Schizosaccharomyces pombe: one gene and its partner. The protein of the gene in region 1 purifies or fractionates together with the protein of each later gene. This does not show direct contact. Each region holds a gene or a part of one and is shown on either strand. Other genes may lie near its edges.

What was found.
Region 2: the proteins of php4 (region 1) and crm1 purify together in Schizosaccharomyces pombe (affinity purification with western blotting, with the first as the bait; one study listed by BioGRID). This does not show direct contact.

What each region holds. Positions count from the first base shown.
Region 1 is NC_003423.3:1,913,081-1,919,722, reverse strand, and holds php4 (CCAAT-binding factor complex repressor Php4), read left to right. Parts: upstream 1-2,830; 5' UTR 2,831-2,985; coding exon 2,986-3,873; 3' UTR 3,874-4,348; downstream 4,349-6,642. Other genes in the region: SPOM_SPBC16E9.02C (CUE domain protein ), read left to right, coding at 22-1,562; fmo1 (flavin dependent monooxygenase), read left to right, coding at 6,244-6,642. UniProt on the Schizosaccharomyces pombe protein: Component of the transcription regulatory CCAAT-binding complex. Required for the reprogramming of the cell for iron use. Down-regulates pcl1, sdh4, and isa1 underlow-iron conditions.
Region 2 is NC_003424.3:2,800,544-2,809,837, forward strand, and holds crm1 (karyopherin/importin beta family nuclear export signal receptor Crm1), read left to right. Parts: upstream 1-3,380; 5' UTR 3,381-3,578; intron 3,579-3,844; 5' UTR 3,845-3,964; coding exon 3,965-7,201; 3' UTR 7,202-7,710; downstream 7,711-9,294. Other genes in the region: SPOM_SPAC1805.16C (purine nucleoside phosphorylase), read right to left, coding at 410-1,357; transport protein Ugo1, read right to left, coding at 7,999-9,264.

The DNA of each region.
Region 1 (6,642 bases):
GTTCATTTCTAACCATAATAGGTTTGAGTGATCCTCAAGTTGCTGAAGAAATGGAACAAGCTGAAACTTCTTATGCTTATGACACAGCCGCACATGACGATCCAGTGCAACGACAGCTTGAGGAAGACGAGAGATGTGCCAGAGAGCTTGCTAATCGTTACAACAGCCATCGTCCAGAACGTAGGCGCAAAACAAACAATGATCGTAGGAATTACCCTCCGCAAAACCGTACAGCAAAGCCCAATGACAACGATGGAGATGATTATTCGTTTTTTGAAGACGATCTTCCAGTCATCAAAGATACATTTATGCGTGGATTCCAATCATTTAAGCAAAGAAGTATGGAATGGGTGGAGAATATCGCTTCCAAATTTGATGGTGAGGAAGAAGACGATGATGATGAAAAGTATTCTGCACCTTCTAAAATTTATCCTTCTCCAAGAAGATCTACTGCTGCTACTTTGGAATCCGCATATGAAGAACGACCACCTTCGTTACCACGTCGTAAACCCTCTCGACCAGGAACAGCCATTACGCTTCCCCCATATGAATCTGATCCACACATGCTGAATGAGAAAGATTTTGAGAGACTTCGCTTAGAATCATCTTCATCTCCAATGATGAGGCGATCTTCATTGAACTCCAACCGTCGCTCCGTAGAATCAAGTTCTTCAGCCGCCTTTGTGGAGGGACAATCCTTCATTTTGGATAGCAATGGTGCGATTGAAGTCGCTAATTCTGCTTTTGCTCTCGATGATAGTGATCTTGAATCAGCTTACAATGAAGAGTTAGAGATGAAAAAAGACACAAGTAAGCCTACTGCAAGCACTAAGGAAGTTGTAGTGGAAAAAAAACCCGACGAGTCACGAAAGCAAGCCGCTCGCACGCTTGAGACCGTATCAGAAGAACAAATGGGATCATCCAATGCTAAATCCAAGGTACTAACATCTGAGCCAAAGGACTCTACCTCTGTTGAAGCCGAAAAAACCGAAACTGATGAGCCTGCTGTTGGTAAAGGAGCATCCGATGTGTCTGATACAGCTGAAATTTCTGAGAAAACTGAAGCCAAGAATGCTGATTCGGAAGCCAATTTAGAAGAGAAATCTGACGTTGGGGAAGAAAAGGAGAGTAAGGACGAAAATAACAAAGCTAGTCTTCATAAGGATGTTGAGGAGAAAGATACAAAGATAACAAATGAAGACACTGGTAAAACGGAGACCGATGTCAAAGCCAAGGAGACTGATAGTATAGAGGCCAATGACAAGGATGAAAAGACCGATAGCAAAGAAACTGAGGACAAGGTCGAAGAAACTGAAAGTAAAGAGGCCGATGTCAAGGCTAAGGAGACTGATAGTATAGAGGTCGATGACAAGGAGGAAAAGACCGATAGCAAAGAAACTGCGGACAAAGTCGAACAGACTGACAGTAAGGACACTAACGAGAAGCCTGCGAAGGATGATAATAAAGAGGCAAATGAAAAGGCTGAAAAAGTTGACAGCAAAGATGTTAAGGAAAAGATCGAGGAGGCTGCTGATCTACAAAATTCGGGAAAAGAGACTTAAGGGAAAGAACAACAAGGCACATCATGATAGGTTCAAGAGTTGTAATCAGCTAATGGTACTATATATGCCTTGAGTATTCAGGGTACGAGTAGCTTGAAGATTTAAATTTTGCTATTTTCGGTGTTCCTCAGCTTTACAGTAAATGTTTTAGCGCTGTTTCGATTTTTCTTATAAGTAATGTTTTTTCGAGCTCTTTTGTTTCATATTTTTATAATTGAATTATTAATAATCAATTAAATTTTTCACGACAATCGCAATCCCGTTGATGAATTTGCAAAGTAACTTTAATTTAAGATTGTGCTTGAAGTTTTATCGAAACCATTTGGATAAACTGAGTAGCTAAGTATCCATACATTCACTCCATCCTTGCGTGCATAGCAACCTTTATTCTTTTTACCACTACTGTACATGAGACATATGATGCTTACAAAAAAATGATATTCATTGAGAAGGCACGAAACAACGTGAATTATTAAAACAACGTATTTTAACTACAACAATAACTGAATACAACATAAATCAAACTAAAAAATGATATAAAATATAAAAACTGTACGTAGCATTCGGTCATCACGAGCCATGGCACGAAGCAACGACTTCACGATGGTTTTAAGCTATGCTGTCGGTCTCCCCGACATAATCTATACCGATTCCATGAAGAGGAAAAAGCTGCAACCATTAATACGGTTCTATATTATAACCGCGTTAGAAGAGAGCAGACTTTTTGACATCAGTAATTCATTATTTTGTGAGATGAAGCTTTGTTTTAACTCACTCACATTTCTTATATACTAGGAGTCAAAAAACAGTCACATGTGTTAGTGCACTTTCGTTTCATCTCATTATATCAAAAATATAAACAAATGTTAAATAATCTTCAAAGGACGGTATGACATGAGAAAAGCAGTGAGTCAGAACATTAATTTAACTCCAAAAAAGTAACATGGATAAGCATTACTATGATAGTTGGTGTGCCGAATGATTGTAGTATTACATAGCCAGAGCCCAGAGTTTATTAGGTCGATCGGTTTTAATCAGATGATGTCCACCATACCCGCGTTTTTTAATTGGTTCTGTAACTGAAATGATGGGTATTGAGAATGTATGTCAACAGCGCCTCTAAGCCGACCTGTTCACTAATCCGTTTTTTCCCGAAAATTGAGTCTTTAAAGATATAACGAGGTGTTGCATACCGGGTTAACAGTACAATCATCGAACCACACGGCACTTAGATCAGATATAATTTAATCGTATCTCTTTATCAGATTAAAACAAACCACCAACGACAAACGTTTGAAAAAGTGAGATTTTTAAGCTTGGTCAGTAGAGGCATTGGAGTATTGGAAAATAAAGATTTATATATTTTGCTAAAAGTGTAGTTCTGTACTTGATATCTCCTATCCCCCCAACTTTTTTTTTGCTCATGGAATCGTCTAAAAGTCCATCGGAAGTGGAAAAATCATCTTCTGCTTCTCCAGCACCTCAAAAGCCGATGATTCGCGTCTCTAAACAATGGGTTGTTCCTCCTCGTCCCAAACCAGGAAGGAAACCTGCGTTAGATGCTCTGGGAAGAAGAAAGGCACCTATTAAACCAAGACCTGGGCCGACTTCAGCTTTGTCGGTCGAGGAAGCCAAATTCCGTGTTCGTGAAAAACAATATCAGGATACGATCGGAAAGTTACAGAAGGAGAACAACGAGCTGCTTGAGCAGTTGGAGATGCTGCAGGCTCAGTTGAAGAATTCTACTTTGGATAGCCCCAAGGAAGTCGAAGTAAACTCTGAAGTTGTCAAGCCAGATTCTGCGACTACTGAGAATGAAAACCGTTATGTAAATCAGTACAATTATCCGGTCGAGCCGCCCTGTGCTAAGAATGCCGTTTATACAGAGATTCCCATTGAGCTAGATCCTCATGCCTTCTTGGGTGATTCGGCCAAGAGAATTCGTGTGGATAGTGACAGTAAAGATGCAAAGTCCGTTCCATCCGAAAATGGAAGAATTCGTGTATCTATGTCTCCCCAAAACGAAATTAATTTTACACCTGAAAACCCAGCAGTAATGGAGAAGATACGTAAACGTGGTGTTTGCAATAGTGTAGAAGGATGTTTGTACTCTGGAAGCCCTAAATCTGTTAAACGTGTCCGTGAATCCGAGGAAACCAAGGTTTATGCTCAACTACTTATTGACTTACACAAGTCCTCGAAGTCTGCTCCGATGTTAAAGGCAGGTCCTTCAATCGCCTTCAAACTTCCTACCATGGAACCAAATTTTAACGATGTTCGTCCCGTCACTTCCATATCCTCTTCTTCCTAAGTTTCCCAAAAGTTTTTGTCATCTCTCATCTCCTCTTGTTATTGCATCTCAGCAGCGACTTTTCTGTTTGTAAGTGATCTCCATTACCTTTTTCCATGGTACGGAATTTTTATTTTCGGACTTAATTATCTTGCTTCATACTATTTTATTCGTTGTGCATTTTCGTTCTTTTTGGATTTCTTTCTGTTAATACTAACGTTCACTACTGGTATTTGAACCAATACATTCAGAAATATTACAACATTTTATTTTTCGTGTTCTTGGTATTTGTTTTAAGAGTGTGTTTTTTTTTTACTCACTAGACTGGCTGTACGTCGTAAAGTATGTTTCCTTGACATATTCTAGTCTAGATCGCTTTGTTCATTACATTGCTTCCTTTTCTGTTATATATGTTAATTTCACTATATGTTTTGTTTTTATATATTTTCTGATTTGTATAGAAAAGAATAAATCTTTGTTATATTTTTACTCAAAATGTTCATAGCAAACATTTGACTTTACAAACTGCTAAGCAGTGTTTTTAATAAATTTAATGCTAAAGCCTTCACTGTGTTTATTATGGCTTATGTTTGAAGCTTCGTATTTCCAAATTTAAAAAGTGAATAATCTAACAATGTTAATATGCTAGTCAATTTTTTTTAACAGTGTGGTGTACCACTAGAATTTCTTCGTTTTGCAATTGCCCTGGTTGAAAGAAAACTTGCTAGAGCACCGAAGTTCTTGTGTACGGTAATCTTTTGGTGAGACCAATCCACTTTCGCATTCAAGTAGAAAGAGTTGTAGTGTCCTAAGGATCTTATATGTCTTTCTTTCAGCGTCATAATCAACTCATGGTTTTTTCAATTCAATTCAATCATATAAAATAGGTAAATTGCTAAAATTGATTAATTTCATTTTGTAAATTTGAAGAGGATATAAAACAGTGTGCGCTATTTCCCCTAATGATCATTTAATAAGTAGTTACAATTTTATATGAAATCCAAAATTACATATCGTCAATTACGATTAAAAATCGTTCTTTGTGATGTGCTTACAATTGAGCTTTTATTCATAACTTTTTTTCAAAACAAGTATTATGCATGTTAACTGTAATTGCATCAAAAACTATATTGTGCTGCCAATTTTAACCAAAATCCTATATGACTATCCTGGATGCATGATTTTTTTCGTAGAATTCTCTATTGTCAATTAGGGTGCATTCACCCCAATTATAGAACATCAAATTATAATTCAACTTTAAAAACTTTTATTTCATGTATTACTATATACTCTTTGAGATACATAATTGATAGTACTCTAAAATACAATGAATTTATATATGAGTATACCTCCCTGCAAATCTTAAAATCTTCTTGTCTCTGATTATAAAAACGAACGTTTGTTGGTATTATGATGATTTAAAGCATTTAAGTAATTATTTGGGTATTAAGCTATACCGTTGTAACAGCAAGAGCTTAATTGTTTCAACAATCCAACTTACGCGTTAGGCGGAGTCAGTAAGTCACCTAACTATATTTATTTGGGAAATTACTATAATCATTTACTTTGAAGCATTCAACATGCTTGAAAAGTATGAGCAGCAGAGACGTACTTTCTCTTATGGCCATTGCAAGAAGTGTTAGGAAGATAAAGATATATTTTTTTTTCATCAGCATGATTTCCTTTCAAAATGCCCTTACTAGATCTTTTAAACAACATTAATAGGTTCACATCTAATGTATTGCTATTCATTATCTGGAAGATCGCTTCGGTCTTTATAAGTAACTAATTCTTAAACGCTGTTATCATTGGACGCTAAAAAAATTTTCTCTTTGATAATCCGTTGCCAAGGTCAAATTTACATTCGGATATCAGCTTGATCTTAATTATTAAATCCATCAAGAGGTGTAAACTACATTTATTATTTTAATTTGCTCTAAATGAGAAATTCAAATGTCCCATTTTTGTCATATGGCTCGCTTATAACAGAACTTGGATTACTAAAATGTTGATCGGATGTTGTAATTTAGTCGTGCTTAATATTGAGTATGATGAAAAGATTGTTTAAAGTTGCGAAAAGCGGATGCGTTTTTGAATCCATAACAAACTATATATACAGATAGTGTCTGGCTTCAATATGTGTATCGCTAACCAGCACTTCTATTTTTTAGCCAATAAGCTATAGCTTTATCAGCGATTTCAAGGCCCCCTGGCAGATTGAGGACAATCGGAACGTGCAAAGATATAAAACGCACATAAAGTGTAGTTTTCATTCAATTACACTCCTTCACAATTGGATATTGTTTCATTCTGTTATTCTTTGTACAGAAAAAAAAATATCTTAATTTACTTGGTACTAATCAAAAAATTATCATTTTCTCTTTTGTTCTTATGTGTCTTCCAACAATTCGAAAAATTGCAATCATTGGTGCTGGTCCCTCTGGATTAGTTACGGCTAAAGCGCTGTTAGCAGAAAAGGCGTTTGACCAGGTCACGCTTTTTGAGCGAAGGGGGTCTCCGGGTGGTGTTTGGAACTATACAAGTACTTTATCAAATAAGTTACCGGTTCCTAGCACAAATCCCATTTTAACAACCGAACCCATTGTCGGACCAGCTGCTTTACCTGTGTATCCTTCACCTTTGTATCGTGATCTGCAAACTAATACCCCAATTGAGTTGATGGGTTATTGTGATCAAAGCTTTAAACCCCAAACTCTTCAATTCCCCCATCGACATACCATTCAGGAATATCAACGGATATATGCACAACCTCTGCTGCCCTTTATAAAA
Region 2 (9,294 bases), on another chromosome or scaffold:
TTTATTATCAAAAAGTTTTAAGGCAATATGACTCTAAATTAATAATTTAAGAAATTTGAAGCGAAATGTATCATTAACTATAAAAAAATAAGTCTAGAGGTGACCAGGGAACTTTGTATACTAAAAACAAATATTTCCTAATTGGTGTTTGGAAAATAACACAAACGACATTTAGGAAATATTGTCTAGTGAGTTCGTTTAAAGAAAGCAAGAAACGGTTATTGATGAGTAAAAGGATATTTTGGAAAAGATATTGAATGGCAACAAAACATCTAATTTACAGACATCAAAATAAGCGAAATGACTAGGATATATATCCTACGTTAGATAAATAAAATAGCTTAAAAGGATGTATAACAGATAAAGGAAATTTTTATTCTGGATAAAAAAGATTGTCAAAGAGGAGTGATTAAATAAAATTGACAATCGTCTCCACCATGGTACGAACATCGGCCGCGGCAGCGATACCAACTTCCAAAACCTCCAAGTGATTTGCAGCACCCTTAGACATGACATTCGAATCAACCTCCACTAAGTCTTTGGCAGAGGGGCTCTCTTCAACAACAACGTTGTTGGTAACCAAAGAAATGGCAAGAACACGAATACCACAATGACGCGCAACGACTACTTCGGGAACCGTAGACATGCCGACACAATCAGCTCCCATAAGAGCAAGCATTCGACTTTCAGCGCGAGTCTCAAAACACGGACCAGATACAAATGCATAACAACCTTCGTGAATTGTACGGCTAACCTTGTGAGCCTTGGCAGCATCGTAAACCAATTTTCGTAATTCTAAATCATAAGCATCCGATAATGGGGGGAAACGTACACCAAATTCGTGTGCATTAGGGCCTCTGAGAGGGTTCATGCCCGCGAGGCCAGGAAAATTGATGTGATCTTTAAGAATCATCAAATCACCAACTTTGAAACCTTGATTCAAGCCGCCAGCTGCGTTGGTAACAACCATGACTTCAACGCCCATGACTTTCATAAGACGAACAGGAAACGTGGTAGCTTCTATAGGATATCCCTCATAAGAGTGGTAACGACCAGCCAAAATCATAGTGGGAACGCGTTTCTCGCCCAAAAAGGCAAAGTACAATTTGGATGCGTGACCTGGAACATGGGAAACATGAAAGTGAGGAATATCTTCATAAGGAACTTCATAAACTGGAGCCGACAATCCAGAGGCTAATGTGCCCAAACCGCTACCGCAAATGATGGCAACTTTGGGCTTGGAAAGCTCTTCGGGGACTTGTTCAATGATGTATTCACGAGCCTCAAGCGCTTTAATGTAAGGTTCAGTATGATGGGGTTGCTGTTTTGCCTGGTGAAGAAAAGATGTAGCAGTCATTGTTGTTACAGAAGAGTTTCGAAAAAAAAAACAGAAATTTTGTATAAAAAAAGAAAGCAAGAACTAATATCTAAAAGGGAATTCTTTATCTTTAATATTTATTAGGCGTATTAGTAGCCAGGAAAAAGAATTTAAGGAATTTTAAAAATATGCAGTGGTGGGTAAATAGGGCCGATAGAATCAGTGTTAATTTGTTTTGAAAATTAGATGGGAAAATCGATAGCAATAACAATACTAACTGAAATACAAACAATAGAATGCACAGAGTTTTGAATAATGTGCAAGCAAAGACGAAGAGCTGGGAGTATCTTGGCAATTGACCTTTATAGAATATCAAAACAAAATAGTAAAAAATAAATAGAAAACGACGATTTTTTGGCACACACTTGATGCTATGCTTAATTTAATTTTGTTTTGTTTTTGTTTTTTGCTGAATATATGTGTAATAAAATTAATATTAGCCGTGAGAACAGAGTAATTGGAAAACACAGAATTGAATCCAACAATTGTTACAGGGAATTAAGTAAGAAATGGTCTATATAAATACTTCTACAAATGTTATTACTTCAACATATCACAGAAAAGCAGAAACCGGTATTACAAAAAGTCACCGAAATACATAATTTATATACGGGCTTTGGCAAACAAATGCGATATTTAGGACAGTGCTGGTCGGATGAAAGCGCCTATCAATTCAAATTTTCTTCGTGCTTGATAAGGAAATGTTGCAGATAAGAATAATGAAAAAGAAGAAAAAAAAAGAATAAACAAAAGCAAAATGTTCAACAAATTTGAAAAAAATTTAGTTCAACTGTAAATCAAAAACACGTTAATTTTACATTTAAAAATGTAAAATATAATGCGGCCAGAGAGGTTCGAACTCTCGCGTTTTACAACAGCAGGGATCAAGGCAGAAGCCTCTTAAATCTGCCCCCTTAGACCACTCGGGCATAGCCGCTTAATTGTACAAACTAATTAAATAGAGGTATATATCTATAAAAATAGTTGCGTGTACTGTAAATTGTCTGGGTTTATTAGAGTATATGTACACAACCTGACTAAAATCGTATAAATTAGTTAAAAAAAATGCATTGGATTTTTTATACCTTGAGAGCCATGCCAACTCCAAAGGTCAATATTTGGTTTAATGATTTTTTTTTCCTTCCCTTTTCTTTATTTAACACACTAAATGTCGGGTAACTGCGAGTTAATAACGAACATGATCAGTTTAATTCAATTTTCATTCTTTTCTATTTCCATATAGAATTGTGGCTGTAACCGCGAAGCATTTCATACGGAAAGTCGCCTTTATTTACATAAGCAACATCTTTGTTGTGTGGCTATAGGAGTTAAAGCAAAAAAGGCGAATTACTAAAGCACAATGAAATGGCAAATCTTTAGTAATAAGTATATTATTTCGTGCCGATGTTCCATAAACTTGGTTAAAATAATTTGGAAACATGATTCTAGCTGTAATTCAATTTTTTTAAATTCATAACAATTTTTAATTTACTGAATGATAAACTTTCCTTCTGTTTTGATTTACTCGTTGACTTGTAAATTGATAATTAAACCATAAAATACCTAATAATTCATAATAAAAAAATTTAAAAAAATAAATTGATGTTTTTCAAATGACCTGTCTTTGCTAAATACTTCAAAACAAACAAACAGAAAAATCCACGTACGACACATTTATTTCTGGTTTAAACGCGGACGTTACGATCAAATTCTTACCGCATTTCTCCCATTCACGGAAACGACCGAACGTCTTACCGGAGGAAGTAAATTTTGTTTCAAAACTAATACCATTTTTTTAAAAAATTGCAATCTGCTGATACACTCAGTTTTATCGCCATCATTCTCGTTCCATTTTATGTTTACTTCATTCCCATCAATTTCTGCCTATAATCACGTTGTTAAATTTCCTTAAAATAGATAACGCAAAACGATTGGATACGCTGCATGCTTGCTATTCTTCTTCGTGTTTCTTTGCCAGCCTTGCGGCCACACCTTTTACCTCCAACACAACACTTGTTCTTTTGCATTTCTACCCTGGGACGTTAGGCAGTAGCCTTTAACTGTATACATTCTTTCATTCTCTTGTTTCCATTGAGTACAAGACAAATTTCTATCGCGTGAAGCATCTCTTGGGACGAGGAATTTCGTTATAAACAAGAGAATTTGGAATATTTATTTGGTTTTTATTTATAGTAAGGAGGTAAGCACTTTGAACGCTCGTGTAGATACGTGTTATTTTCCTTGGTCTTCTTTTAGGAAGGATCTTGTTATCTTTCGATTTCCTGTTCTTCGATCTCTTGTTTGAGTTAATTATTGTTTTTTCTCTATTATTTTTGCAAGGGAGGAGTAATTAATCAGCAAGTAGGAGATTAAAAATTTATATTATTTTGTTTCTATTCGATAAAATTAATTTTTCTTCTACTTTTTTTTATTTTTTTTTTCAAATTTCTAACTTGATTGCTGAAGTCCTTTATACATATACAATCGCATAAGGTTGAGGTAATTATCCTTTTCTTTTTACTTAAGACATTTGTTCAATACGTTGCCAACCATCAATTTACATTTTTTGCTTTTTGATTTGTAAATATGGAGGGCATCCTGGCATTCGATCGCGAATTAGACGTTGCCCTTTTGGATCGTGTTGTCCAAACCTTTTACCAAGGTGTCGGTGCAGAGCAACAACAGGCTCAACAAGTCCTGACCCAATTTCAGGCACATCCAGATGCATGGTCGCAGGCTTACTCCATCTTGGAAAAATCAGAATATCCCCAAACTAAATATATCGCTCTTTCCGTCCTTGACAAGCTTATCACCACTCGTTGGAAAATGCTTCCCAAGGAGCAGCGATTGGGAATTCGCAATTATATTGTTGCTGTTATGATAAAGAACTCGTCAGACGAAACTGTCCTGCAACAACAAAAAACTTTTCTTAATAAATTGGACCTCACTCTCGTTCAGATTCTTAAACAAGAATGGCCTCATAATTGGCCCAACTTCATCCCGGAAATTGTCCAAGCCAGTAAAACAAACCTTTCACTTTGTGAAAATAACATGATAGTCCTTCGTCTTCTGAGTGAAGAAATTTTTGATTACTCAGCTGAGCAAATGACTCAGCTCAAAACCAAAAATTTAAAAAACCAAATGTGTGGCGAATTCGCCGAGATTTTTCAACTATGCTCACAAATTCTCGAACGTGCGCAAAAACCTAGCCTAATCAAGGCTACCTTGGGAACACTTCTCCGATTTTTGAATTGGATACCCCTTGGCTATATATTTGAAACAAACATTGTTGAGTTAATTACAAATCGATTCCTAAATGTTCCTGATTTTAGAAACGTTACCATTGAATGTCTTACCGAAATAGCTAGTCTTACTTCTCAACCTCAGTACAACGATAAATTTGTTACAATGTTTAACCTTGTGATGACCTCTGTTAATTCTATGCTTCCTTTACAAACTGATTTTCGTGAGGCTTATGAAGAAAGTAGCACAAACGAGCAAGACTTTATCCAAAATTTGGCTCTCTTCCTTTGCGCTTTCTTTAGCTCTCATCTTCGACCATTAGAAAATCCTGAAAATCAAGAAGTCCTTCTTAATGCTCATTCCTACCTTCTTAATATCTCGCGAATTAACGAGCGAGAAATTTTCAAGATCTGCCTGGAATATTGGTCAAAATTAGTAGCTCAGCTTTATGAAGAAATGCAGCAAATCCCCATGTCTGAAATGAATCCATTACTTAATCTTTCTAGTCCTACATCTCTCATTTCTTCTAATCCTAATATGTTAGCCAATCTTCCTTTAAGGAAACATATCTATAAAGATATACTTTCAACTCTTCGATTGGTTATGATTGAAAACATGGTCAAGCCCGAAGAAGTCCTCATCGTCGAAAATGACGAAGGTGAAATTGTTCGTGAATTTGTTAAAGAGACGGATACAATTACCCTTTATAAATCTATGCGTGAGGTTCTTGTGTACCTCACTCACTTGGACGTGGTTGATACTGAAATCGTTATGACTGAAAAACTTGCACGTATTGTTGTTGGTACAGAATGGTCTTGGCAAAATTTGAATACTCTTTGTTGGGCAATCGGCTCAATATCCGGTGCTATGAATGAAGAAATGGAAAAGCGCTTTCTTGTTAACGTGATTAAAGATTTATTGGGCCTTTGTGAAATGAAACGTGGCAAAGATAATAAGGCTGTTGTTGCCTCTAACATTATGTACGTTGTAGGTCAATATCCTCGCTTTTTAAAAGCTCATTGGAAATTTCTCAAGACCGTCGTCAATAAGCTATTTGAGTTTATGCACGAATATCATGAAGGTGTTCAGGATATGGCTTGTGATACATTCATTAAGATTGCTCAAAAATGTCGTCGCCATTTTGTTGCTCAACAACTGGGAGAAACGGAGCCGTTTATCAACGAAATTATTCGTAACTTGGCCAAGACGACTGAAGATTTAACTCCTCAACAGACTCATACTTTTTATGAGGCGTGCGGTTATATGATTTCTGCTCAACCTCAAAAACATCTTCAAGAACGTCTCATTTTTGACCTTATGGCGTTACCCAATCAGGCCTGGGAAAATATTGTCGCTCAGGCTGCACAAAACGCTCAAGTTTTAGGGGACCCTCAGACCGTTAAAATATTAGCAAATGTTCTAAAGACAAACGTTGCTGCATGTACTTCTATTGGTTCCGGTTTCTATCCTCAAATTGCTAAAAATTATGTAGATATGCTTGGTCTTTACAAGGCTGTTAGCGGTTTAATATCAGAAGTGGTTGCTGCCCAAGGAAATATTGCTACCAAAACTCCCCACGTCAGGGGATTACGAACTATCAAAAAAGAAATTTTGAAATTAGTAGATGCTTATATAAGTCGAGCGGAAGATTTGGAGTTGGTCGGAAATACTCTCATTCCTGCGCTTTTCGAAGCAGTGTTGCTTGATTATTTACAAAATGTTCCTGACGCTCGTGATGCCGAAGTTCTTAATTTGATAACCACCATTGTCAATCAACTTAGCGAACTCCTTACTGATAAGATTCCTCTTGTTCTTGATGCTGTTTTTGGATGCACCCTTGAAATGATTAGTAAAGATTTTTCGGAATACCCCGAACATCGTGCAGCATTTTTTCAACTTTTACGCGCCATTAACTTGAATTGTTTCCCCGCTTTGCTCAACATCCCGGCACCACAATTCAAACTAGTGATCAATAGTATTGTATGGTCCTTTAAGCATGTTAGTCGCGACATTCAAGAAACCGGACTTAACATCTTACTTGAACTTATTAATAACATGGCGAGTATGGGACCTGATGTTTCAAATGCATTTTTCCAAACTTATTATATTAGCTTACTACAAGATATATTGTATGTTTTGACTGACTCTGATCACAAATCTGGCTTTAAGCTTCAAAGCTTAATTTTGGCTCGGCTTTTCTATCTGGTTGAATCAAACCAGATTACTGTACCTCTCTACGATCCTTCTCAATTCCCCCAGGAAATGAACAATCAATTATTTTTAAGACAGTATATCATGAATCTACTAGTCACAGCTTTCCCCCATCTTCAACCTATCCAAATCCAAGAATTTGTACAGACAGTGCTAGCTCTTAATCAGGACAGCATCAAATTTAAACTTGCTTTACGTGACTTTTTAATTCAATTGAAAGAATTCGGCGGGGATAACGCTGAACTTTACTTGGAGGAGAAAGAACAAGAGTTGGCTGCTCAACAAAAAGCCCAACTGGAGAAAGCTATGACTGTTCCTGGTATGATCAAACCTGTCGATATGCCTACTATGGAGGAGGAAGAACTATGATATTCTTCAGCAAAAACGTATTTAAGCTTAGAACTTTAAAATATGAAAGGAATTATATATTTGGTATCTTTTACTATTGACTTAATTGTGGATGTTATTTATCCCTGTTACTTGAGAAGTTTACTTAATTCCTTTTTTTTCTTTTTTTTTTTTTTGAAAAGCAAGAAGGGTTTTTGACATGACATGGCCCGTAATTCAACGTGTTAGATAGCAAAATGATGGCGCCAGTTGTTATTGATTGCAATTCAAACTATATAAAAAAGTAATAAAAAAGCATAAAGTCTTTAGAGATTCAACTTTCCGTGCAGTGTTGTAAATTAGAAAATTAAAGCATTGTAAGGATTTGGGTTGCCTCATTTTTTATACTGTTTATAAATTGAACGAGCAGCTATACTTGAATAACACTATGAAGTCTCGTGTAAGAGATCTCAATGCGACGTTGAAGTCCTTTTTATTGAATGCTGGCGTTATGCAACCTTGCTAAAGGAAACACCAACGTATTTTCACATAACTACGTTTTTGCTTCTAGAAAATGTATTATTACCTTTAATAAATTATGTAGCTACTACTATTCCGTTAGAGAATACGGTAAGAAAGAAAAACGAAAACATTAAACATAAATCAAACTTACAACTACAAATATGACTATTCGTGTAGTAATTTGGAATAAAAAAAATTCCAAATTACAAAACATCACCTAACTAAAACCTTTTTGAGAATTCCGTAATTTACCATGTGAACTTTCGTCTCTTCTGACTTTGTCTAATAAACAGACAATCAGACCCAAAACCTGAATACTAAAATTCAACTTCTTCACGCAAATTAGAGGAGATGTAGTTCAATGCTAAGGTACTCGACATTCCCCAAATACCCACTCGCCATCCACGATACAAACCTTCTATTCCAAATTTACCCGGATCTTCTTCGCTTAAAAGACACCATATGGTACCGACGATACCAGTGTATTTGCCTACGGGAACGATAGTTTGGGGTGGAAGGTTGCATTCATACTGGGCTTGTGCTCTTCGAAGTACCATTTCTAAAGGGCATTTGAGAAGAAATTGAACGGCTGAAGTGCCCAAGCCAACCATTGCATCAAGTGTAGGAGATGAGCCCAAAAAGTTGCGGAATGTTAGTGGAAGCACACTCGAAACAAATGGTGGTAAGCTGACATAACAAACTGTGGGTAAAATTAACGATGAAGGGCAGTAAAAAGGCAATGCTTTCAAGCATTGTCTGATAGTAAGAGGTTTAAATTTTTTATGCGAATTGCCAGAAGTTTCAGAAGCTGAAGACAAATAGGAAGATGAGGAAATGGGGAAAAGAATTATTTTTGTTCTGGCAATATCAAGGGGAGATAGAATAAGAGCAGAGATCGCAGAAGTAATGGATTTGATGAAAAGGGAAAGAAGAGGCCGAACAGAATCTATAGGTGAAATAATGTTTGGATCTGCTATTGCGAGAGCTCCAGATAATGTTGCCGAAAGCCAGGACTGTAGGCCGGAATAAAGTAAGTTATGCAAAAAGCTGATTGTATGACCTTTCCATAAACCCCTAGCTCCTTCTTTCTCCCATAGCTCACTAATGATACTTTTAATCGAAAATCTTTTCGAATGAATTGTATAGCTTCTCTCGATGAGATTCGAAGGATCAGTTACATAGCCAGACGCATCGACGCAAAGTTTCTCAGCTAGCTGTTCTGTTACTGCCTTTTCTGTGGTAGGTGTTTCAAAGTAAGCATAGATTTCGTGTTCATCATCACTGAGACCTTCCTGTTCTGTGCCATCGGGAATATCCTCATCATAAGGCTCCTTTGTTTGTTTCCCATCACGCTCAATTTTAGTTCGTTTTGGTAAATATTCTTCTACTTGACAGACAGTTTTTGCTACTTCCAATGGCTGTACAAAAAACGTCGTTAAATATTTGGTCACTAGAATACTTCTGAGTGTCTCAAAAATCTCACTCTTGCTTATGGTCGGTTGCGTCTCAAACGTTGGTTCTGGAGTTATCGAAAAAGTAGGCTCAACATTGTTAACCACGACATATGGTCTGTATGGATTCATGCTGTATGCTTGCTCTTTTCCAAAATGAGT